4 linked regions of the Caenorhabditis elegans genome follow. The protein of the gene in region 3 interacts with the protein of the main gene of each other region in a biochemical or structural test. Each region holds a gene or a part of one and is shown on either strand. Other genes may lie near its edges.

The links.
Region 1: of the proteins of npr-1 (region 3) and flp-15, one has a biochemical effect on the other in vitro, tested with the Caenorhabditis elegans proteins (one study listed by BioGRID).
Region 2: the proteins of npr-1 (region 3) and stn-2 form a complex in vitro, tested with the Caenorhabditis elegans proteins (one study listed by BioGRID).
Region 4: of the proteins of npr-1 (region 3) and flp-5, one has a biochemical effect on the other in vitro, tested with the Caenorhabditis elegans proteins (one study listed by BioGRID).

Annotation. Positions count from the first base shown.
Region 1 is NC_003281.10:13,662,868-13,669,525, forward strand, and holds flp-15 (FMRF-Like Peptide), read right to left. Parts: upstream 4,973-6,658; 5' UTR 4,937-4,972; coding exon 4,873-4,936; intron 1,190-4,872; coding exon 1,127-1,189; intron 818-1,126; coding exon 681-817; 3' UTR 533-680; downstream 1-532.
Region 2 is NC_003284.9:7,675,967-7,682,346, forward strand, and holds stn-2 (PDZ domain-containing protein), read right to left. Parts: upstream 4,654-6,380; 5' UTR 4,559-4,653; coding exon 4,523-4,558; intron 4,379-4,522; coding exon 4,306-4,378; intron 3,870-4,305; coding exon 3,736-3,869; intron 3,691-3,735; coding exon 3,627-3,690; intron 3,575-3,626; coding exon 3,509-3,574; intron 2,988-3,508; coding exon 2,891-2,987; intron 2,462-2,890; coding exon 2,398-2,461; intron 2,344-2,397; coding exon 2,195-2,343; intron 2,109-2,194; coding exon 1,940-2,108; intron 1,517-1,939; coding exon 1,391-1,516; intron 1,338-1,390; coding exon 1,272-1,337; intron 1,227-1,271; coding exon 1,062-1,226; intron 1,017-1,061; coding exon 924-1,016; intron 876-923; coding exon 756-875; intron 712-755; coding exon 586-711; 3' UTR 545-585; downstream 1-544. Other genes in the region: mfsd-8.5 (Major facilitator superfamily (MFS) profile domain-containing protein), read left to right, coding at 1-24, 71-163.
Region 3 is NC_003284.9:4,766,615-4,771,807, forward strand, and holds npr-1 (Neuropeptide receptor npr-1), read right to left. Parts: upstream 3,372-5,193; 5' UTR 3,361-3,371; coding exon 3,187-3,360; intron 2,751-3,186; coding exon 2,606-2,750; intron 2,557-2,605; coding exon 2,369-2,556; intron 2,310-2,368; coding exon 2,058-2,309; intron 2,008-2,057; coding exon 1,946-2,007; intron 1,901-1,945; coding exon 1,736-1,900; intron 1,132-1,735; coding exon 1,021-1,131; intron 972-1,020; coding exon 756-971; intron 711-755; coding exon 650-710; 3' UTR 538-649; downstream 1-537. UniProt on the Caenorhabditis elegans protein: G-protein coupled receptor for FARP(FMRFamide related peptide) neuropeptides. Activated by FARP neuropeptides flp-18 and flp-21. Plays a role in modulating social and feeding behavior.
Region 4 is NC_003284.9:8,526,602-8,531,560, reverse strand, and holds flp-5 (GAKFIRF-amide), read right to left. Parts: upstream 3,241-4,959; 5' UTR 3,240-3,240; coding exon 3,160-3,239; intron 1,530-3,159; coding exon 1,406-1,529; intron 796-1,405; coding exon 721-795; 3' UTR 528-720; downstream 1-527. UniProt on the Caenorhabditis elegans protein: FMRFamides and FMRFamide-like peptides are neuropeptides. GAKFIRF-amide has an excitatory effect on dissected pharyngeal myogenic muscle system.

The sequences.
Region 1 (6,658 bases), on a different chromosome or scaffold from region 3:
AGTTCAGAAAAAAAAGAGTTTCAGAAAATAAAACATCGACCATTTTCAATTTTCTGAGTTTCCAAAGTTCAATGATCAATAGTTCATTAGTTACAGACATGGGTGCGCGGTAATCGGAAATTTTGGTAATTGCCGAAATTGCCGATTTTCATTCAAGGATTAAATCATGCCGAGCTTGAAAAGAGAAAATTGTCCATTAAAATTCATGTTGAGTTTCGTAAATCTACAAAAAGTATCGAATTTATATTTCCGGCGATTCTGAATTTCAGCAATCGGCAATTTCGGCAATTGCTGGGTTTCAAAATCTCCGGCAATTGGCAACTTTGGCAATTGTCGGTTTTGTGAATTTTCGGCAATAAGCAATTGCCGTGCACCCTGTTTACAGAGTTAACACGATTTCAAAGTTAGAAATTTGCTGGTTGCCGACTACTCGAAATAAAGAATATCAAAACTTTCATCCATTTGACAGACATTTTCTGAAAATTGTTATAAGTTCATCGATAATGATATAATAATAATAATAATAATATAATTAACTTGAAAACATATTTTATTAACCAATCATCTTATTTATTTCATAGAAACACATGCAGCACAGTCAGGTGAGGGATGGAAAAACGGGGGAACGGAATCGGGGAGAAAAAAGTTGTTGGCAAGAAAATGACCGCTCTCCAAATTATTTACTGGTACCACGACGCGACGTCTTCAGCAGCAGGTGCCACGTGGAATGATGATCGCTTTCCAAAACGGAGAGGTCCAGATGGTCCACGTCGTTTTCCGAATCGAAGTGGTCCCTGGGGTCCGCCTTTCTTTACGTCTGAAAATTTAGCATAAAGTGGTCACCAAACATAAAAAAATTGGTAGGTTAAAAAGCAATCAAACCGTTTGAGATATAAAAAAGTTTTAACTGAAAATAGATAGAAAACTTATTTGTTATAAATGTTTTTAAAAGTATTAATTTTCAAAATGGTATTCTCACTTGAATTCAGCGATAAAATGTATTTCTGAACATTTTTTGAAATGCTGATATCTTTTTAGAAACTTAAGAGATCGAAAAGTTTTGAATAAACAAATGTTTTAAAACTTTGTGATTTTCATTTTTTAAGTTAACAATTCAAAAGCTTACAATTGGAAAAGTAGTCCAAATCAACAGCCACTGGGATTGTTCCGACCGAATTGTCGTCGTAATCTGCAATTTTAGAATGCTTGTTTTTTTTTTGAAATTTTGGTTCATTTGAAAGTCATAGTTTGAGCTTTTAATTACTACTTATTAGTTTTTAATTCCCATTGTTCCAATCTTGGAAATATCAAATTCCTTCTGAATCCTTTCAAGTTTATTTATAAAGTGACGTTTTTTTTTTCTCATTTTCCACTTTCTAAATATTTGTTTAAAATTCACAAAAATTCTCACATGAAACCCACTTCCGACACACGTACATATCATTTTTCCATAAATAATTCGAATGGACGCCGTGTGAAACTTTTGGCACAATTTTTTTGTTTTGTCTTCTGGTAATTTGAGATGCATTTTGTGCCAAAATTTTGAAATTTCTACACTCTGTTTAAAAATTTCAATTGAAAAAATGAAAATTTGCTGGAAAATCAATCAGACAATTTTTGACAAAAGCTTTGGTAAACTTTCGACAATTCCGGCAGTTTAGTAGTACTTTTTTGGGAAAGAATCTCAAAATTTTGAATGTTGCCCCGTTTGACCTCAGCACCCAAAAAAAGAAAAATCTCCCCCAACTTTTTTTTTCATAAAATATTCAATCTTTTATCACTCATCTCAAACATCTACCCCCTCATCTGCATAAACGTGATGCTCTCGAAAAAAAACGAAGAATTTGTCAAGTTTTCATTATCAAAGTGAGAGAAAAGAACAAAAGAATAAATTAGACAAGGAAGCTCGTTTTGTTTGACTAGCTGAGTTTTTGGAATTTTTAGGTAACGGGTTTGTGTGACGAACTTTTTTTTGAAAGTATAAATAATTCTTAACCAACTTCAATAGTTTATCAAACTATTGTCAACTGAAATTTTTTTGCAATTCTCTCTAATGTTTTCTCTCTAATTTTGTAGTCTGCTGCTATGCCTATTTTATCTTGCTTCGGTATAAATGTTTAACGGTGGAGTACCGAAATCCGAGACTTTGTTTTTTAGATCCAAAATGACCCAAAACTACCGAATTTCGTATGAAACGTTTTAAACATTTTTCAAAAAAGTTATAACGAGTTCAAAGTTCTGGAAAAAAGGCTCATTTTCTGCTAAAATCAAACATTTTTGCCATCTTCTCGCTGTCGCAGCGTCTGGAACTCAATTTTGGAATAAACAAATGACATATTAGTTTAAAATTAAAAAAAAATTAATTGCTACACTTGCAATTCTAAAAAAATTTGAACAATATAAAATCGTGTTGTTAATTAAATTTTCTTGGGAAAATTAATCGCATTTCAAAATACTGATAATATTGAAATCTGTGGTCTAAAAAACTAATTTTTGGTCAATCATCGACGTCTGATAATTTTAGTACCAAAAGGCAAAAATTTTGTCCAGTAACCTCAAATTGTGTCAAAAGAATTTCGTGATCAGTGAAAATAATTAACTTTTAAATGTTAACTTTTGAAATTAGCCGCTTGCGTTTTAAATTGTTAAAATTAAAATCCCCAGCCCATTTTCAAATACACAACCATCATCATTCCTAAAGGTTTCCAAAATAAAGCGAGCCCCATGTGTTGCTCATTGGTTTCAAACTTTCAAACTAATCGCCTGACGACCCCCAGTGGACGTGCACCGCCAATAAAACCTTACCAAAGTTAGACCCTGGAGTGTGGAAATGAATGAAAATCGATGCAAATGGCTCCTCTTTATGGTTGATACATGTGTACATATTATGACAAAACAAGAAGAAGAAGAAGACACTACTATGTAGACGGGCGTGGGTGGTGACAAATTTGGAAGTTTTAGTGGGAAGTTTTAATCCCTTACACCTTAGACTAGAGACATTTTGATTTTGAAATAGGAATTATAAAATTTTTATCTACGGTTCTTTGGCAACTTGTAAATCTCAAATAATTTGAATTTTGTCTTAAAAATAGTTGTTGCACGAAATTCGGCAATAATACTTTTCAAAATTACCGATATTCTATAAAAAATGAAAACAATTTTTGAAAAATTATAAGAATTTTGAAATTTGCCCAAACTCTTGATCAATCATCAAATCCTCACAAAAAAATTCGGCAGCTTTTAAAATAATGTCTTTAAAAATTTGGCAATTTTTGGAATATTCCTAAAACTCTTGACTAATTTTCGCTAGCTCTTCGGCTTTTCATGAACTTTTGGCAAATTTTTGAAACTTTTAAACAGTTTTTGATGTTTTTTTTTGCAAATTTCGACGCTTTTGGAAAAACTATCAGCTTCCGGCACTATTTCAAGCTGTCGAAAATGTTTTGCGACTTTCAAAATCAATTTCATCATCGTTTACAACCGATTTAAACATTTTAACGATCTTTTGCACTTTTCCACTTACAAATCTAAAAACTTCAGTTTTCTGACTTCTAAACCCTTACCTTTTCACTTCCGGAGCCCAGTGATCCGTAAAGTCAGAATTTTTCCAAAAATTTTACTACTAAACTACACAAGCGGAGGAGTAAGGGAGGGGATTGTTGAATGACAAATGGGAAAAGAACAAAGAAAGTGGAATTAGGAAATGACAAGAAATGATGGAGGAATGGATCAAAACTGACAGGGTTACGGTAGGGTGATGTCATCGAAATTTTGAAATTATATATTTATAATTTTAGAGCTGTCAAAAATTTGTTACCAGTTACAATGTAACTGGTAACAAATAACTTGTAAAAATGTTTTTTATTGCTTTATTAGACTCAAAATTGTCTGACAACACCCGAATTTCATAATGAAACTTCATGAAAACTTCTCAAAAAAATAGTTATACGGCTCAAAAAAGGGCCTAATATTAGTCAAAATTTGAAATTTGACGGAATTGTCAATGTCGCAGCGGCTGATAACATTGTTTTAAATCACCGCCAAATTTTGAGTATATGAGTATATGTAATTATTTTGCCTTTTCAACTCGATTTAGTTATTTTAAAGTCGATGGACCAAAAGATTTTAAACATTTTTACCAAATTTCTTCGTCTATTGGCTTACTAAATCGAGTTGATAACGCATGATAACTAAATTTTATACCCAAAATTTGACGGTAATTTCAAAACAGTTTTTAGACCATTTTTTGAGCCGTCATAACTTTTTTTTCGAGAAGTTTTTAAGAAGTCTGCGTTTTCAGACAATTTTGAGGGTAGTAAAGCAATTTTAAAAAATCTGGCAAGTTATAGTGAATTTTTTGGTCGATTTATTATCAATTTGTTTTAAATGTTTTTCTTGTTTTTGCTCCAGTCTCACCAAAGTAAAAACTTGACAGTTAATTTTTTTGTTATAATCCCCCGTTACATTTGGGTGTTGCTAAAAAATTTCCATACTTCTTTGATTTATTATCTACAATCTGACTGACTAAAGTTCAACTTGACTTAAATGGCGAGCTCTGTTTTGAGTAAACCGCCAATTTGCCTGTCAGAATGTCGAAATGATGTAAACTTTTGAAACTAAATATCAAGTTTGCTGGAAATCGGATCACGAGGATATGTATCATAAGTTTTTGAATTCGTCACTCGGAGAATACATTTTTTAAAACTTATTTATTCAGCCATTATGCTTCTCAAACCTGCAGTTATAACTAAAGCTGGTCAACTCACCCAAACATGTATAAAACTCCGTAAAAAACCTAATCTTTTTGATTTTTCGTATTGTATAGAATCCGTATCGTATTTTCAGTTTGCAAATCTAGCCAACAACTCTTACCTGCAAGTGTAGCAATTGCCAAAACCGCAAAAACTGCAACTCGAATAAGCGTGGAGAACTGCATGACGAGGTGTATGTGGGAGACCTTCTTCCAAAAAATGAGCCGAAAGCTCTTGCGAAAGCGCACACGAGCAGATAGGGCGGGATCTGAGCTCCGCCCTTTGCGCAGCTCTGTAGTTATTGATGAGCAGTCAGAAACTTGATATTTTTTGAAATGAAAATTTTGAAATTGGGGAAAAGGTACCACTTTTCAACAAAACCTGACACCACTTTTGAAGTTTGCTCCGAATTCAGGAGTTTGGCACATATATAAGTGACCAAAAAAGTTCAACGCTTAAAATACTATTCTATATATTTTTCAGATTAATTTTGCAGATAATATCAAAAAATTTGAAAAAAAATGGATTCCGGTGATACCAACTGACAATATAAAAATTTGAAGTAGCGGGGCAGACTGAATTCAGTAGATATGACACAAAATACTAAATTTTGCAAAGAACGAGTTTTGAGTGGTTATTTCAGCTTTAGGAACACTTCCTGTAAACTACTATTAATTTTTATTTGACTTATAACAACCGAGAAAGTGTTCAAAAATTGTCCGAATGTGGAAAACTGGCGTCAATTTTTCGGCAATTTTCAACATTCAGACGATTTTTGAAGATTTTTCCAATATTTTTTACTGAAATAACAGTTATTTTCAAGTAATGCAAATATTTTCTATATTGTACCATTAAATTTTAACGAATAATATCGGGGGAACATTCCCAACCGTCTCATTTTGTAGAATTCCCGCGCACCCCTGATTGGCACTCTAATTCACAACCCCTTTCTAACGAGAACTTCGAATTTAAAAAAACCCAACTATAGCCTTTGTTTTTAAAAAAAATTTATGTTCATAACTTTCAGATTATATTAAAAACGATAACTTCAAAGTTTCAGAACCATGAAACAGGCGTGACCTAGCGTACAGTACCCCTTATTGGACCGCCGCATCCCCAAAAACTTCAGAGCGGCAATAATTACACCTGGTAATTATTACACCAGTTGTTGTCACTTGAAAATGGTGTCGTGTTACTGTAGCCCCGTGTGTATCCATAATTCGGTCATATTTCAAACGAAACCGGCACAATATTGCAGAGAGACAATTGACTTTTATGTATGCAATTAACGGAACTAACAAAGTGGAAATGGTATTTCTGTAGTTTGTTGAGATGAGAAGTTGAGGGGAAAAACTTGGAACCTTTTTTTAAATACATTTTTAAGTATCAACTTAAATAAAATTGAGCAAAATTATATTTCGAAATTTGAAAGTTTTACAAAATTTTGATAATAACTCAATCCTCAATGGCTTTTTTTTTGAAACAGAATTGAGATATTGGCAGAATTCAAGACACCGTTTAAAATTTTCCGCGTTATATTGGATAGATTTTCGGAATTCAAGATTTCGGGAAAAAATTTAAAATTCTGCCCGCCGAATTAATTCAGCGAGTGTTTTTTTTCGGTGTTTAAAATTCCGTTTTCTTCATTTTTTTTTCAATGATATATTTTTATTGTAGTTTGAAAATTTTGATAATTGAAAAATATCCTAACCTAGTAACAAGTTGTAACAACAGACGCCTCGTAGGTTTCAAAATTAAACCTGCAATATAGGCGATTTTCAACATTCAGATTCAATATTCAACATTCAACAGCTTCCGTGATATTGCTATTTGAAAAATTATCAACTGGCAAAATGAAAAAGTATTTGTAAACCTATATAGCAACCGATGAAAATTACTAGCCAACA
Region 2 (6,380 bases), 2.9 Mb from region 3:
CCATGGTTGATACTAATTGTGAACGTGAGTATTGCTGCAGTTAATTCAATAGAAACCCAAACGATTTCAGCTGGTAGTCCTTATTAGTGCGTGGATTATATTGCGTGTGAGAATGGTTCCATTCGAGAAATATGAGACGAAGAAGATTGAGCCTTTGAATTAGGCAACTCTTTACTTTGTTATTTCACCTTTGTTTGAGTTTTCGAGTACTGTTGTAAGTGCAATATTACGGCAAACAGAAACCGGTTGATTTTGACTCATCGCGTGTCTTTATCTTGTTATCGATATAATTCTTTGAGAATTAGAATTTATGATTATTGAAATAAAGGATTTTTGAAATTGACAATTTGATTGTGCCAGAAACCTGAAAAAAGTCATATGTTTTCAATGAAATTTTGATTTTTTGCATATGACTCAAAACTGGTCCATAAGTTACAGGTAGACTACGGCATGCAGATTGTTTTTATTTTTAGTTTGAAATAAAAAAATGTTGAAAACCTAGCTTTAACTCATGATTCAAATTTTGTTTTAAACAACAGTTGAACAACAACAAAAAAATATTTATGCTTTGAAAATCAAAAATCATTAGTCCTCTGCATTTCCAACATAACGATTAGCCTTCAAATAGTCTGGATCAGTGGAAACAATTCTGGCAAGAACAAAGGAATGAAGGTTGAATACAACTGTTACCACATCTTCGCATTCGATGTCCTGCAATTTGAGTACTTGACTCGGAAAGTTGCAAAACCACTAACCTTTACTTCTATTCTATCGGAATTCAATGAACGATCATCATTGAACGATAACTGGACACACAGTTTGCCATCATCAGCAACGGCTTGTAAATCTCTGAACCGATATTGCCAAATGTAACTCTAGAAATAAATTGTATCAATATCAATAACAGTTAGAAATAGTATTACCTTAGTAGGAATATCATATAGACTAATTCCCTGTTTAATGTCAAAAACGATTCCACTGGCTCTTCCTTCAAAGTTACAGGCAAACGTTCGGGACTAAAGTTAACTGTTATTGTTGTTGAATAATTTAAATAAACTTGCCTGCATTTGGGAAATGGTATTGTATACGGTTCGGTAATATGCTTGCTCAAAAAGTTCAAATGCAGATACAGCTTCAAATGACAGGTAGTGATTTGGAACTTGCAATGGAGTTTCTATTAAGAAACAATTGTCACGCTTATCTCTTCGTGGACTAGAGTTTGGGACCTGTAGATATCCCTTCTAGAATTACTACTTTTTTTGATAATCTACCTGTTTTACAGCAACATCATAACATTTGTACAAGTAGACACATTTGTTGAGATCTTCAGAGTTTAGCTGGAAAAAAAGAATCATGTAAAATAAGTTCAAAAATTAAAAAAAAAACATACCGGCGGAACATCAAAGAAGCAGACATCACTGCCTTTTAAAATCAAGAAGCGAGGTTGCCAGCGGATTTTAAGCTCTTCTTGATCATCATCATTCAAGTATTCATTCACCCAACCAATGTAGCTGATCTAAAAAACATTAATTTAAACTATTTACTGCAAAAACCGTGCATAATGTTAGTAGATTTACTAGTTGACTATTTTCTTGAATATTCAATTTTCAACAAGATAGTCGGCTTTAAAAACAACAATGTTTCCATCAAGTATCCTAAATCGAGCAGACAAAAGCAAAAATAATTGCCTCAAAATTAGATTAAGCAAAGTTTTATTCTGAATTCGTAATTTCCATTGTATTAGCTTTTAGAAAATACATCATTCGACCCATAATTCTCTGGACACCTAAAACGGCTTCATAGTCAGTAATGTTGGATCATTAATCTGATGTGTGCTGAAAACATTTAATTTTTAATTCCGATGTCGTATTTTTAACAGATGTTTCAAGGCAACCAAACGTGCCTACCAAACATTGAAGTCATATCATTGCATACTGACCTGCTCACTCTGATGCAAGTACTTGTTGCTCATTTTTATACTCTTTTGGTTGAGCGACAATATATGTTTGCTGATGTGCGAGATCCATTGTTCCAGCGCCGATGTATCTTCGCAATGCACAATTCCCGACGATCTTCCATCTACTGCACGAACTTCGAAAGAGTTTGTCCTGTAAAATTTTAGTTTTGTTGAACAAGAAATACAAAAAGCTCCCCGTTGTATGTATTCATTACGAAAATAAAATCTGAAGCAAACCTGATATTGTCGGTTCCCCAGAGGTATCTGGTGACATAAGCCATTGCCAACGGAAGAGACGTCAACGTTTTCCATTTCTTTTCCCGTCCGTCAATATGTTGTTGCCATTTCGAGTCGGAGAGTCGGGATTCGGATTGCGCTTTGTGGCTCTGAAGCAAAAACTCCAAATAATTTCAAAATGGAAGCTTAGGATTTTTTCTTACCCTTGTACTTCTTCCATCAAACAGCTGATCCAATGTTCCATCGGGTTGCAATGACTGTGCTGGTCTGAAAAGTAGTCACTCCAACGTCTCTGGTACCCCGATATAAAATCAAATGCAACTATATACTCTGCGCAAAACATTGTGTGTCCCTCGGCAGTTTGCCTACTGCGCACATTTTTGAATTTCAAATGCAGTGAAAAGCATTCATCAGGGAGGATGGCGTAAGGCTCCGCGTGCTTTGCCTCAAACCACCCCCTGCGCAGAGCTCTTCTACACTCTAATCCATCAGTTGTTTCTACTCATGTTTCTTCGTCCTTTTCCTTCTTTTTCATGCTTCTTTCTTCCACTCTTTTCAACCATACTTTTTTTGTGTGTCCTCTCGCCAAAGTAACGCCACGTCGAAAATCGAAAAAGGAAGCGGGAAATAGGAAGAAAGGCGATGCATGGGACTGACTTGAGTAGCAAATTTTTTTCGCCACAAAACCAAACTCACTTTAGAAACGGCGTCATATGGGTGAAATGGCGGACACCCAAAGTTACTTGGTCACCGCTTGATTTTAACATGTTAACCACTTCGTCGTGGCTTTGACCTGGAAGTTGATATGAAAAAATAGTCTACCGTTTTTTTTCCCTATTAGACTTGTACCATCATGCCCTTGCTTGATTTTGACAGCTTATATCTTAGTTAGTTCTTTTTGGTTTTTTTTTAATTGGCAACTGAAAAAAAATTGATTTGTTATGAAACTTAGGACGGCATATATAACCCATCCAACAGAGAAGGAGCAAGTATAATAGGGAAAGTACAGCATATGACTTGTTTTATTATTCAATACAACTTTGTTTTTTTTTTTTAAATTTTTATGTTAAATTTTTGAACGTGAATTGCCAAAAGTTATTTTGTTGCGGCTTTTATAGGCCCCATGTGAGAAGTGTGGAAAAAATGCATACATTCAAAAATTGATGGTTCCATTTTATTTCTATTATTTAAAAAAAAACTAGTTTAACTTTTTGGTCTTTGCTATGAACGCTCATTCGTTTTCAGTTCCTATTTCCCAGAGGGGAACCAAATGATTGGACTAATGAAGACTACTCGTTCTTTTTCTTCCCTCACCTTCTATGGATATTCCATTTACTTCTACGATAGCATCTCCAATAAATAGCTCTCCACATTCGTCGGCTGTAATTTAAGTATTTTTCTAGATGTTAAAATTTTAAATCTGACGATTTACCTGGCAATCCTTTGAATATTTTGGAGATTACTATTGGCATGTTTTGTGCATTTTCTGATCCTCCCTGCAATAGTTCTAAGTATTACACCGGTCCTGTTCAATTGCTCACTTTAATAGACAATCCGAACCCCGAGTCTGGTTTTTTAACTATGACAACTTGCCGAGTTGCATTTTCTAGAAATGTTTCTTTGGCTTCTTCGGGCTCCGCGGTACCATCGTCAATGACTTGAATACATAACTCATCTGCAAGAATATGTTACGATATTTCTTTTTTTGGATGACTTTTTATATAGTTTTCATGCCATTTTCATGTCATTTCTACCAAATTTTTTTTGGAGTTTTAAAAGCGCAAAGGAAGCGCAAGACAAAAACGAAGATGCGGGACCCTGACAGCTTTTTCCTCTTTTCTCAACAACTCAATTGTAGGCTAGGCACCAATTTCCGCGCCATGAGCTGCCTAATAAAGTTTTCACACGACTAGTTGAGGCCGTCATTGCACACTTTTCTTTTATTTTCGTTTTTCTCCCCCATTTCTCCTCGTTTTTCAGGCCCTTCTCGCTTTCGCAAATTGTGCGGCTTTTATAGGCCCCATGTGAGAAGTGTGGAAAAAATGCATACATTCAAAAATTGATGGTTCCATTTTATTTCTATTTCAAGTTCCATTTTAATTTCCTCTTACCTTTGGATAAAAGCAGTCGTGACGATCTAGAAGTGGCATTCCCATCACTAATGAGTACTATTCCATGATGAACCTGAAATTTTTTGTTGGAATTTGTTTCATTTAACATATTGTCAAGTCTTGTATTTCATAAGACTTCAGATTGCTGGCATGTACTATACAAAAATTAAACATGCCCATTAAAAACCAACAATTTCATAATATTTGCTAAACTTACCACATCCAGATTATGGTGTGATTTCGTAACGGACATTTAGCCTTGTTTAACAGAGAATATAAAATGTAGCAAAAATGAAGGACAATGAACTAGAGGGACTAAAGATGCGTGTGTGTGTGCCACCTCACACGAGTCAACTTTGAAGCGCCCGAGCTCCAATCTATCCTATCTGCTCATCGGAAGCGGTGTAATACACACATTACAACAGCAAAAGATGCGGAATCATAGACGAACAGCAAAAACGAGCAGTTGAAGGAAGTGAGAAACAAGATGATAAACAGCTGGTTTGAATTTTTAATATCAGAAACGAGTCATCCAATATTTTTAACATCCAACAAAGTTTTGATCATAGTCTGAAAACTGATTAAAAGATATAAAATAAGAGCTGAAATTCTGGAACTGTTGCCAAAGAGATTGCCGGAAAGGCAACCATCATTTTTCTCAATTTCTTCGCGTGCTGCTTTCTGACTGATAAAATTTTCTACACATTGTTCACAGTCACAAAGTTTTCTGTACTCTTATCATTAAGCAGCGACCATTGCTCACCCATCTCCGTTGTGGTCTAGTGGTTAGGATTTATGGCTCTCACCCATAAGGCCGGGGTTCGATTCCCCGCAACGGAATACCTTTTTGAGGAGTGACTTTTGATAAAAATTTTAACATCCCTGTTTTTTCTCCATTTGTTTATTCATATTCAACAGTTAGTGATTTTCCAAACTAATTGAAACTTTCACTGAAATCTTTTCCACATTTCTGCATGTTGTTTCCTGCAAACTAATTGATGAATATAATCAATCATTTTGACGAATTGCCGTTTTCTACTCTTATTGTCCTTTTTCCCCATTAAAACAATGGGAAAACACGCATTTTAGCGCCGTGACCCTACACTGTGTCTTCACTTCGAATGTCAATGAGCCATTGAGCTTCAATTGAGAAATGCCGTTTTGAAGATACAAAGACACATCGTTTCGCTTTCCATATTTCGAATGATGGACGATTTTCGGCGGCGCAAACACATATGAAAATGTTCCGCAACTGGCAAAAAAGAAAGGCAACGGAATATATTTCACAATCGTTGTTGTGCAAACGAGGCTGACTTTTTTGCCTTTAGTCAACTGAGTCATCAAGAGAGACTAAAATTGTGATTTTTTCTTTGAGTACATATGTGTGATCACATTTTCTCTGCTTGAAACAAACCACAAAGTGTTTTGTAGCTCTTCTTGTTATATAAATTAAAAACGGAGTACCTTCAGTAGGAAAACTGTTTAAACCCGCTCATATAGTGTCAAAAATTAAACGACAAAATACATGAACTTTAATTTTAAAAATTAGATATATATAACTGTTTTCAAAGTACGCACGTATTTTGTTATTTATTAAACCTTGTTGTGAATCATAACACCTTTTTAATTTATCAGAAATGGAAATGTTCGAAATCCTTTTGCATTTTTATTCTTGGAAAACCACTTAAACTTGAAGAGGAACACGTGTATCACGTATTATTAATATGGAAAATTTGATGGAAAAATTAGTTTATTTTTTAAAATGTGAGATTATAAAACCTAAATACCGATTATTAAATAAGTAATCTCCCATTTTCATTGAAATAGTTATATGCTGGTCTCTATTGCACTCCATTGCGCGTCATTTCCAGCGCATAGTACGCAGTACAGTCCCCGTGGTGTCTACGGTCCTAATCCCTAATGTGTCTATGTATCGACTGTTCCTTGTTGATGATATCAATTGTTATTTTTAAATTTTGTCAACAAGGTATTTTATCATTGGAAAATCTAAACATAACTTTTTCAGAAAAATTGGTTATGTGGTCTTTGAAGAAAAAAAACTAATTAAATTTACT
Region 3 (5,193 bases):
GATTTGTTATTTTAAAAAGAAACAAACATGTATTCAATTGTTGGTATTTTAATTTTGTAAAAAGTAAAGTGTGCACGGCAATCAAAAATACTCGGAAATTAACATTTTCGGCAATTGCTGAAATTTCCGCAATTGCAGATTGCTGACAATTTTTAGCAACTTTTAAATTTAATCTTATTCTGAAAACGAATTATTACACCTTGTTTAGTGTTCTGTAAATCATTTTTCGATTGGCAATTCCGGCGAATGATGGCTCAGAAATTTTTCAGCAAAATTCCCGATTTCCGAAAAATTCGGCAGTTTGTCTGAAATTTTCAAAACTCCAAAATATTGCATAGCGTTTTGTTTTACCACATGTTCAATATTTGAACTCTTCTTTTTGCATAATAATTTCGTGTTTAATTCCCTACCTTCTAGTCTTCTGAAGCACTTTGCTTTGAATCATTCGTTTGTAGAACACGAGATGATCGTTTAGTCTACGAGACCACATATCATCAATTTTCGTATGTGTACGTCATGAAAACACTTATAGATATATATGCATCCTATGTATTATTTATTCAAAAAAAAGATCATAAAAACTATTTCAGCAAGGATGAAAGTGATGATAGTTGCGAAATCAACGAAAAAAGGATATGTCAGAAAACAATCAGACTAGCGTGTCGTTGACGCTGAACTCGATCAATTCTTCCGGCTCAGCAACAAGTTTACTAAAAAATCAAAATTTTAATTACGATTTCAAATTCACGTTCTACCTTATTTCAGGACTTGAAACTTCATTCAACTGAACTTCCGGTGTAGGAGTCCTCGTATGACCGTTCACATGATAGCTTAAATTTTCCGAACACGAGTTCAGCTCCCTCTCCTTCAACGCCTCGTGGCTACCACCACCGCCAATTTTGGCTCTTCCATTCAAGTGCTTCGTATCATGCACGATCTTTGTTTTGTAAACTGATGTTTGATTGATTATTCTGGAAGACAAAGCACAATTACAACGCGTTTTCGAAATTGACAACAAACCTGTCACTTTTACGCCGGTCTCCAAAATATGTCTTTATGACCAGTTGACGGAAACTTGGGTTCAGCCACGCATAGAGTACCGGGTTTAAAACATTGTTCGACATGGCAATACTAGAAACGTTAAAATTAATATTTGCAAAAACATGAAAAAAATTGAATTCAAAGGAGGGATCCGGTTTTGGGTATTTTGAACATATAGTCACAAAATGTGCTCAATTGAACGAATTTCGTAATGAAACTTCTCAAAACGTTTTGGGCCAAAACGTTAATTTCAGCTAAATCCGCAACTTTAGCCACTTTCCCGACTCACAGCGGTCAGAAACTGGCTTTATTTGAATAATCATCATTTGTGCCATTTGTAGCTTTTATTTCACGTTATTTCGTTGATTAAGGTATCTTTCAATCCAATAGGTAGCCGATTTTGTTCATTTTTTGTTACTTATTGGCTTAAAAAATACCTTAATGATCGAAAAAAGTGAGATAAACTATTAAAATATGCGATAAAGGACGATAATTTTAAAAAAAGTCAACTTTCGACAGCTGCGGAAAAGTGACAGAAATTGAATATTTTAGCTAAACCCAGGTCTTTTTCCAAAAAATGAACCGGCATAAAAAAATTTTGAGAAGTTTTATTTTGAAATTTGTTCATTTGAGGCATGTTTGGGTTTATACGTTCAGAATGGTCAAAACCGTTCGTTCTTGGTTAAAATCAAACCTGTGAGTGAAAAGGTTCAGTAAATAACTGATATCGTAATCATCTCTGCCATAAAGTCGGAAAAACGATTGTGTGTCATCATATTCAATAATCAAAGAAATGACGTTATGTGGCAGCCAAGTTATCCCAAACCAGACAACCATGGTAACTAGGATTGACGTTGTTCTAAAACACAAATAGTATTTCGGTTAGAAACCTTGCATTTAATACCTTCTGTTCTGAAGTACAACTCGTTGTTTCTCCTTTTCCTGTTTGTCTAGAAATTCGTTCAACTGGAACGAAATCAAATGTGAATTTTTAATTTGAAAATCAATAAAACTACCTCATTTTCATACTGTTCAAGACCATGCGACGGGAATGCGCAAGAGCTCTCCAACGCGCTTGTTCTCTCCACCATTTTGCGTATCTTTGTCTGAGCACGCTTGCTGAGCACCGAAACAATATTTGCATAGCAGAAGGCCATGACAGCGAATGGGACCACGAATTGGGCGAGCATCACGATCATTGTGTAGGCTCTTCTAGACTTGGCAGATTCCCACTTTTCAGTGCAAAAGTAGCCGCATATTCTCTCTTCCTGAAACGAGGGTACTAGTTGTATAAGAAGTTGAATACCTAGAAAAAAACGACACTCACTGTGTATTCAATCATTTGCATATTGAACGCATAGGGTAGAGTTACAACAAAAGAGAGGATCCACAATAGAACAGTAGTAAGAAATGCTCCTCTTTGGGATAGTGGTGTAGAATGTGGTCTTACTACAAGGATATACCGATCCAAAGCAATCGCACCGAGACTGAATGTGCATACGAAAATGCTGATACCTGAAAAAAAAACGTCATTTTAAAAAACTTCTTGTTTTAGAAAAAATACCTTGAATGCATGGTATCAAATGGCAGAGTAGATTTCCAAAGTACCAGTTTTTGTACACATTTGTGATTGGAGTGATTGGAAGCGATAATATGCACATCATGCAATCGCTCGCCGCCAGGTTCAGAATGAATATGTTTTGAACGCTCTGAAATTTAATGATAATTCACAGGAGAAGTGAAGGTTCTGGGATTTTTGATTGGACTAGTCAGAGTAAAAATCTTGATCCGCTTCAAAAAATGTTAAAAACATTTTTGTGATGTTCCATCACGTATTTGGTTCGTTTTTGGAAAAATTCTTTCAAGAAGTGGTAATTACTCAGTTTGACTGTCTATAAAATTTTTTTTTCTAGTTGTGAAACGTTTATTATGATATTTGGTTATATAGAATTATAAGAGTGTTTTTTTTTTTTGCCAAATATGTACGTCACTTTTCAAGTAGACATGGATAACCTCGTCTCTCGTTAGCCGGGTGTCAGTAAGCTGTACGCACTATGCACTTCGAATCAAATTGTTCAGAGAACCCGAAATTGTCAATTTTCCAAAACAGAACAAAATTTGACCCGAAAAAAAAACGAAACGTACCAGTAAAGCTTTATGGCTGCAAGTTACGTAAATCAAGGTCACATTTCCAAAGAGTCCAAGAAAAAAGAGAAAAAGGTACACGGTCAGAAATGGCACTATCGCATATATACTTTGAGAAGGATCTGGATACACTTTCCAATATACTTGACAGTCGGTAAAATTTTCAACTTCCATTTGGCCTATGTCTGAAATTTTTTTAGTCTAATGGAGGAAAGAAAAATTGAGGAAACAAAGATGAAAGAGGGTGTTAACCAAATAGATTAATAGATAAAAAATAAAATCCTATAGTTTCCAGAAAGTGATTAGAGATTTGGCTGAGTATAATTCTTTCTTCTCATGTAAGCAAATTTTTAGGGTTTTTTTAGCATGGCTTATGGCTTATAGAAATTAAATATTTCGTACTCACATCTTTAAAAACCCCAAAATTATACTATTTCTTGGCCCACTAACAGGTTCCCGGTCTAGACAATACGACAAAATTTTAAAATGCAACTTATAAAGATTGTGTGCACTTATAAAGATTACTGTACTTTTCATTTCTCGTTGATGAGTTTTGGTGGTCTTTTCATAGGTTTTCTTACGAGTCTACAAAAATTTTATAAGTTTCAATATACAGTATTTTTTAAAGGTGCAAATGTTTTCAGTTGACAAAAAAAACTTGTCGTGTTAAGATCAGGTTTAGTTAAGCTGTGAAATGGCAATATTTTGCATCTGGGTGATAAGGCAGTATAGGTGCAATACTTTTAAAAAATAGGGTAAGTCTAATTAGGTAGTTCAACCACATTGTAAGATCGGAGACCTTAAAACCATCTTGAGCTTTCAGAATGTATATTTTTGGCGGAATACACCTGCGAATTGATACAGATTACAAATGACAGAGATTCATTACAGAATTATAGATACTGGAAGCACAGGATGTCATCTATCGCTTTGACAAGTGGAAAATTTTTTATTTTTTCCGTATGGTTCAACAACTACCTAGTAATAAATGGATAGAAACAAGATATTGGTAAACCAAGGTTCAAAATTTCTAAACCCTGTGTCAAAAAAACAGCACTGATCTATGTGACGAATATCTTAGACGGAAACCAGAAAAAAATTGCGTTGAAATTTGCTAAATGTGAAATGAGAGCAAAAACAGGAATGATGTGAGAGGGAGTTGTGTGATGAAGCCGAAAAATGGTTGACATGTTCACGTTAATGAAAAAGGGATCGAGGGCCGAAAAGATGAATACCTGAGAAAAAAGAGAAAAAGAATATGTGGGGAAAATTTACTGAAACAGGTTTCAAAAATTCCGCAATTGTTTTCCAACTCTATTTTCGTTAAACAACGGAAATTGAATTTTTAAGTAGGAAATAAAAAAAAGTGACAATGGTTTTGATCATGTGTGGGTTGAGATTAAATTTTTGATATCAATCAAAACAACACAAACCCAGAGGCTGATTGAGTTTTGGATAAACTGATTAAATTTAATCTCGAAATTCTCTGAAGCCAGATTTTTTTAAAGTTGAGCTACAATTGGATCGGGCGACGTTCAAATCACAATTCATTTTCAAGGAGAATAATGCATCAAATTGGAACATTCAATGAAAAAAATCCTATTATTATATTTTTTTTAACAACTAGGCTAACGAACTTATTTTTCAAACTAGTTACTAATAAGGAAAATTTGTTTTCATGCTTTCATAAATTCAATTTAAAGTTCAAGTAGTTGTCATTGTAATTGTTATGAATAAAGTTCAAAGTTTTCAGAAATTAAAACTAAATCATTTTGCAATATATTATCTATCCTCGAAAATCAAAACATCATTAAGAAATATTTGTTCTTTGAAATTAAGGAGACTATTCAGAACTATTTCCTTTTACTGAGAGATTTAGTTGCATGAGACCGAGAAAATTAAGTGCTTTTCACAAACTCAATGAGCATTATGAACACATTGAGGTCCGAGCACTATTGGCGCATCACGAAAGAATTTTTGATTCGCGGTGTGCACATTGTGCCCTGT
Region 4 (4,959 bases), 3.8 Mb from region 3:
CTGTAACCAAAATTCGAAAATAAATTATTTTTGAAACCTCTGTTCTAACCAACTTTTCAATTTTCTGTAGAACTCAAGGCTACCAAAGCCAAAAAAAATTAGTAAACGAAAAAACATTTCAAATAACATCTATACTGCCACCACTTTCTAAAAACCAAATTGGGATGATCGTAAGTTTTGAAGATTAGATATGTGTATGGAGATTTAAACAAAAATAAGTTTTTAAGTATTTTTGACACATGCAATAGTAATACAAAATGAAATGATTGTTCAATTGTGTTGATTCCTTGGCATAAAATTTCAAACCACATTCAAACATTGACATGTCATTTGATTGACTAGATTGCAGTATTTAGTTAATATTTCGATTAAAAAAAAGAACGCACACAATTTTTGGAAACATATTTAGGTGAGACGTCTAATTAAGTCCATATTTTATAATGAATTGTTTACGTGTTTCTTATTGTTTTTTTAAGATCATGGATTATGGATACTTGTTATTCAAAAATTTTGAAACATAATAATTTAACGCAACGTTTTTCATTTGAGAAGGCGTCGAAATGGAAAACACAAAGAATATCAGTTCGCACAACAGTTCGAAAAAAATAGGAGGACAAATAAATGAGTGAAAGGGTATATTTCAGGTGGGGACTTTTTAAGAAACACTATGCAGTTAGACAACGTAGGAGCAGTGATTCGACACGAGTTGATTGTTCCTAATTAGCCGAATCGGATGAATTTGGCTCCACGTTTAACGTAGAGCTCGTTGACCGATGGTGAGGCGTATCCATCTTCCTGAAAATTCAATAAATGATGATGGCATAATGGTTAGTATACATGAGAAGTTGACGTTTCGGATGCGTCATTACTCATATCCATGTGTTGGCATATGACATAGTGCTTTTTAGCGTGATATTTTCATATATGTATTCCGTTTGTAAAGATAGTGGGGGAGCGGGGTTTTTAATATTTCAGAAAGCTAATAGCTTGTAATGCAGTGTGTACTCAGTCACGTCGATCTTTCATGAAATTCTGACGTTTTTCTTGTGACTTAAAAGTATTCCGTCTTCGCTGGAAATGACAGGCATCGTTTATCCTTTATTAGTCTCATCATATACTTATTAGTCGAAATTTGTAAATGTTCATATACGACTAGAACAATTTTTTTAAGGTGCTCCCCAGCATTACAAAAAAATCTCTAGACTCAGCAAATATCAAAACAGATAAAAATCAAGATTTTCAGAATATAATTTGCATACGTAATAAGGGGGTCGAATAGGATTTTCTACAATGGTAGCAGCTTAAGCTATGTGTACAACAAACACAAGGAAACAAGCTTTTCAGAACCTTGGTTTTCGACTTATGCAGTGATTCACTGAAAAAATTATTTTCTTGAAATACTAACCCAAGTGTTCCTTGATCGCCCAAATCTGATAAACTTGGCTCCTGCACGACCGAATCGGATGAATTTTGGCTTTGGTGCTCGTGCTATTCTTTGGTATTTTTCAAGGTAGTCCGCGTCTTCGGCACTGAAAATATTCGGTGTTATTAGATTGAAAAGTCCATATTTGTGAACAAAGAGACCGTTGTTTTATTTTTTTAAAATGTCATAGAACCTTTCCTGTCTTTTTTCTTACGTATTTCACACGTCAATATTGAAAATGTGTCTATTTTAATTACCACCATTTATCATATTTTTAATATTGTGTTTCGGTTCACCACGACCTACATTTCTGCATATAATTGTTCAAAAATAATTGAAAAATGAAAAGATAAGAAGGTTACCACATTTTCCTTTTTGTCGCTTAACCAACTACTTTACTTTTCCAAACTCAATGAGCACATGCGTCATGTTAGCACGCCAAGTGCAAAATTAAACGCTTCATTTACCAATTGTATTGAACGACTAGAGCAAAAAAGTGGTGGCAACTTTTTGAAGGAGACATGTTTTGTGAGTGCTCTGATCCCTCCAGTGACTTTCTAAGAATGAAACAGGGAAGTTTCAAAGTTGCCTGATATTAAAGAAGCGGGATAAATCGAGAACGGAATGCTAATTTGTGTTACATTGAAGGTCAAAGAAGCTAATTTTATGAATTCCACCCTCGCTTTTCTATTAGGTTAGAGACTAGTCCTCAACTATTTTATTGTTTGACATACTTTTGTTTTTGTTTTCAATGCTTGGAATTCAATGTTCTGAATGGGAAATTCCAAGCTTTAAAACAAAACAAACAGTTTAAAAATCTGAGTATTTCGAAAAGTAATTTCAAAAAGATATTGTCATTGAACACTTCCATTCTTTGTTTATAACGTCATCTCTATTTTTTCCTTGCTGAAGACTCTGGCCTCCCAACAAAGTTGTTCCAATTTTTTAAACAATAGTATGGAAAGAATGGGTCAAAGTGCATCTCACCGGAAGCATCGAATGCAAAGCGAATAAGCAAAAAGCGCGCCTCCTAGTACTCGCAATTGAATTTGAATGGCTGATTGATATTTCCGCTTCATCCGACACCAAGAGTCCAACAGACAAGATGGGATCCCCCAAAAAGAATAAACTCACGTCACATTACGATGCTCATGAGAATGAAAAAAAGGGAGGAGACCGGGGTATAAGTTCGTAGGAAGCGCACAAGATGCTAGTAGTAAAGTGAAATGCCGAAGAAAACGAACAGAATCTAGTATGTGTGTTAATCACGCCATTGCATCTTTGTATAATTAGAAAATTACGAAAATGATGATGAAATAAAGTGCATGATGAAAAATGCGTCACTTTTGAGCAATTAGCTGTACAACGATGATTTAATTTGGATATTGAAACTATTTCTGTATTAGTATTTAGTTTTTCTGAAAAAGATAATTTGCTTGTACCTACGACTTTAATAGGTTCCGTTGTTGTTTCAATCTAGACCTTCACGCACCGTTAGAGTTTTGGTTTTTTGTGTTTTTTTTTCTGTCTGAGTTGGTAATTTATGTCAGCCTTTTTTAAAATCCTTTTAATAATTTTACTTTAAGTCCTAGCGCCTTTTCTTTTTAGGAAGTCCATGATAGTCTCAATAGCCGAAGCAATGATCACAATCAAGAACAAATGGCCAGTTTTGATCAGTTGGGGTTTAACAATTGGCTCATCACAGCACCTGAACCCTAGACATCAAATTAACCTACCTTGATTGAGCGGAAACACATTGGAAGACAAGAAGGGTGGCGATGAAGAGGAAAGCAATCGTGGTGCTTCGGCTGCTCATAGTTGCGAGGAATGACTGTTTCGTAAAAGGCGGGTGCTGTCGTGGAAGCTGAAAGGCGGGGACGCTGCGCATGGCTTGCCAACTGGCTCCGCCCCATCTCTACTATTATGTGGAGCGGTTGGGAGCTGAACTAGAGATGATGGGAAATAAGGAGTAAATTGAAACTGTAGTTGTTATTTTTGGGAAGAGACTTTATCTAAAAGAGTTGTTATTATAGTAGGAAGAGAAGATAATTGGAGAAATGAAGATATCAACATGTCTACTACAACAGAAAATAGCAATATGCTTTTGATAACTTGCGTCAAAGTTGCATGACATAATTTGATGAATTAGCTCGTCTATATTGGCGATCAAAAATATAAAAAGAATCCTCCAGCAGATTTCTGAATTCTCTGCGCAATTCGTCACACGACCCAAAAGCTTTTTTAGGTACTTTTAGGTACTTCCTTCCAGACTTCAACTTTAACAAGCTCTTTTTGCAAAACGGAATGCCCTCTATGTTTCCCATTTAACCCCGTGGAGATTGAAAAGTAAACGATCTAGTAAGCCTCTGGGGGAATAGAAGGGGTACCGGAAAACTAACGACTTAACCCAGAGTTTGATAATAGAAATGGAGTCAGAAGCCGAAAAGCTGATTGAAAACAAATAATAGAGTAGGATTATTTGTTTTCGAACCAGGGTCACTATCAATTGGGAGAAAAATAATAATACGAAAATCAGAACAAAAAATTAATCAGAAACCTTTCAAATTTCAAATAGACTTCTAGTGATTGTTTTAGTACGTCATAGAGCATCAACTTTGGTTTTTAGAAAACTTGCAAATCGATGTAACGCTATTCCCAAAAAACACTCCGACGATCAACTATAAATTTTGTTTATGTACCAATTCATAATTTCCACGAACCGATAAAAGTGCTCATGTACCGGTTTTACTTCAAAATGAGAGTTTTGTATTGTGTTCACTTGCCGAATTCTCATTTCCGTTTTCCATAATATACACAAGAAACAATATCAATTGCAAGATTCATTTCAGATCCACCCGTTTCAAGCCCACATTGCTTCTTTTTTCTTAGATACCACAAAAAAAAACAACTAAACTAAAGTTAAAAAACTGAACTATTCTGTTTCTAGGCGGCGCGTTCTCCGTAGTAAATGGGAGATTCTCCGAAAACTGCAAAATGTCAGTGTTGAATGACCGATTTGACATGTCGGAGGAGGAAACGGCGGGGCCTGACATGACGTGTCCGTTTTGGCCCACAAAAAAGTTTTAATTAAAACTGGAAGCTACGGGAATGAAAAAGTCTACGGGCGAGCAAACAAACCGTAAAGCCTAGAATTTTCAGCATATTGAATTTTTACGCGAACTTTGTATTTGAACTTTTGCTCGATGACTTTCTTTACGACATGTGTGAATTTTAAGATCATGTTTCATTTTCTTAAAGAAGTTTGTTTTCAAAAAGGTTTATTCAATACTAAAACACAACAGAACCAATTTTTGTTACCCTCTTTCAGTCTTGATTAAGAGTACTAAAATAATGCAGAAGTGTACCAATTGGCCATATCATCTGTACTTTTTGTGTTCAATATTACTTTCCAAGAGTTGTTTTATTGTGTTCACGATCTTTATTTATACTGTCATCAAAGTTTACAAATTTGGTACACCCACATTTCAATGGTCATATTACACAGATAAATGTCATCACTTCCCGAAATCTGCGGA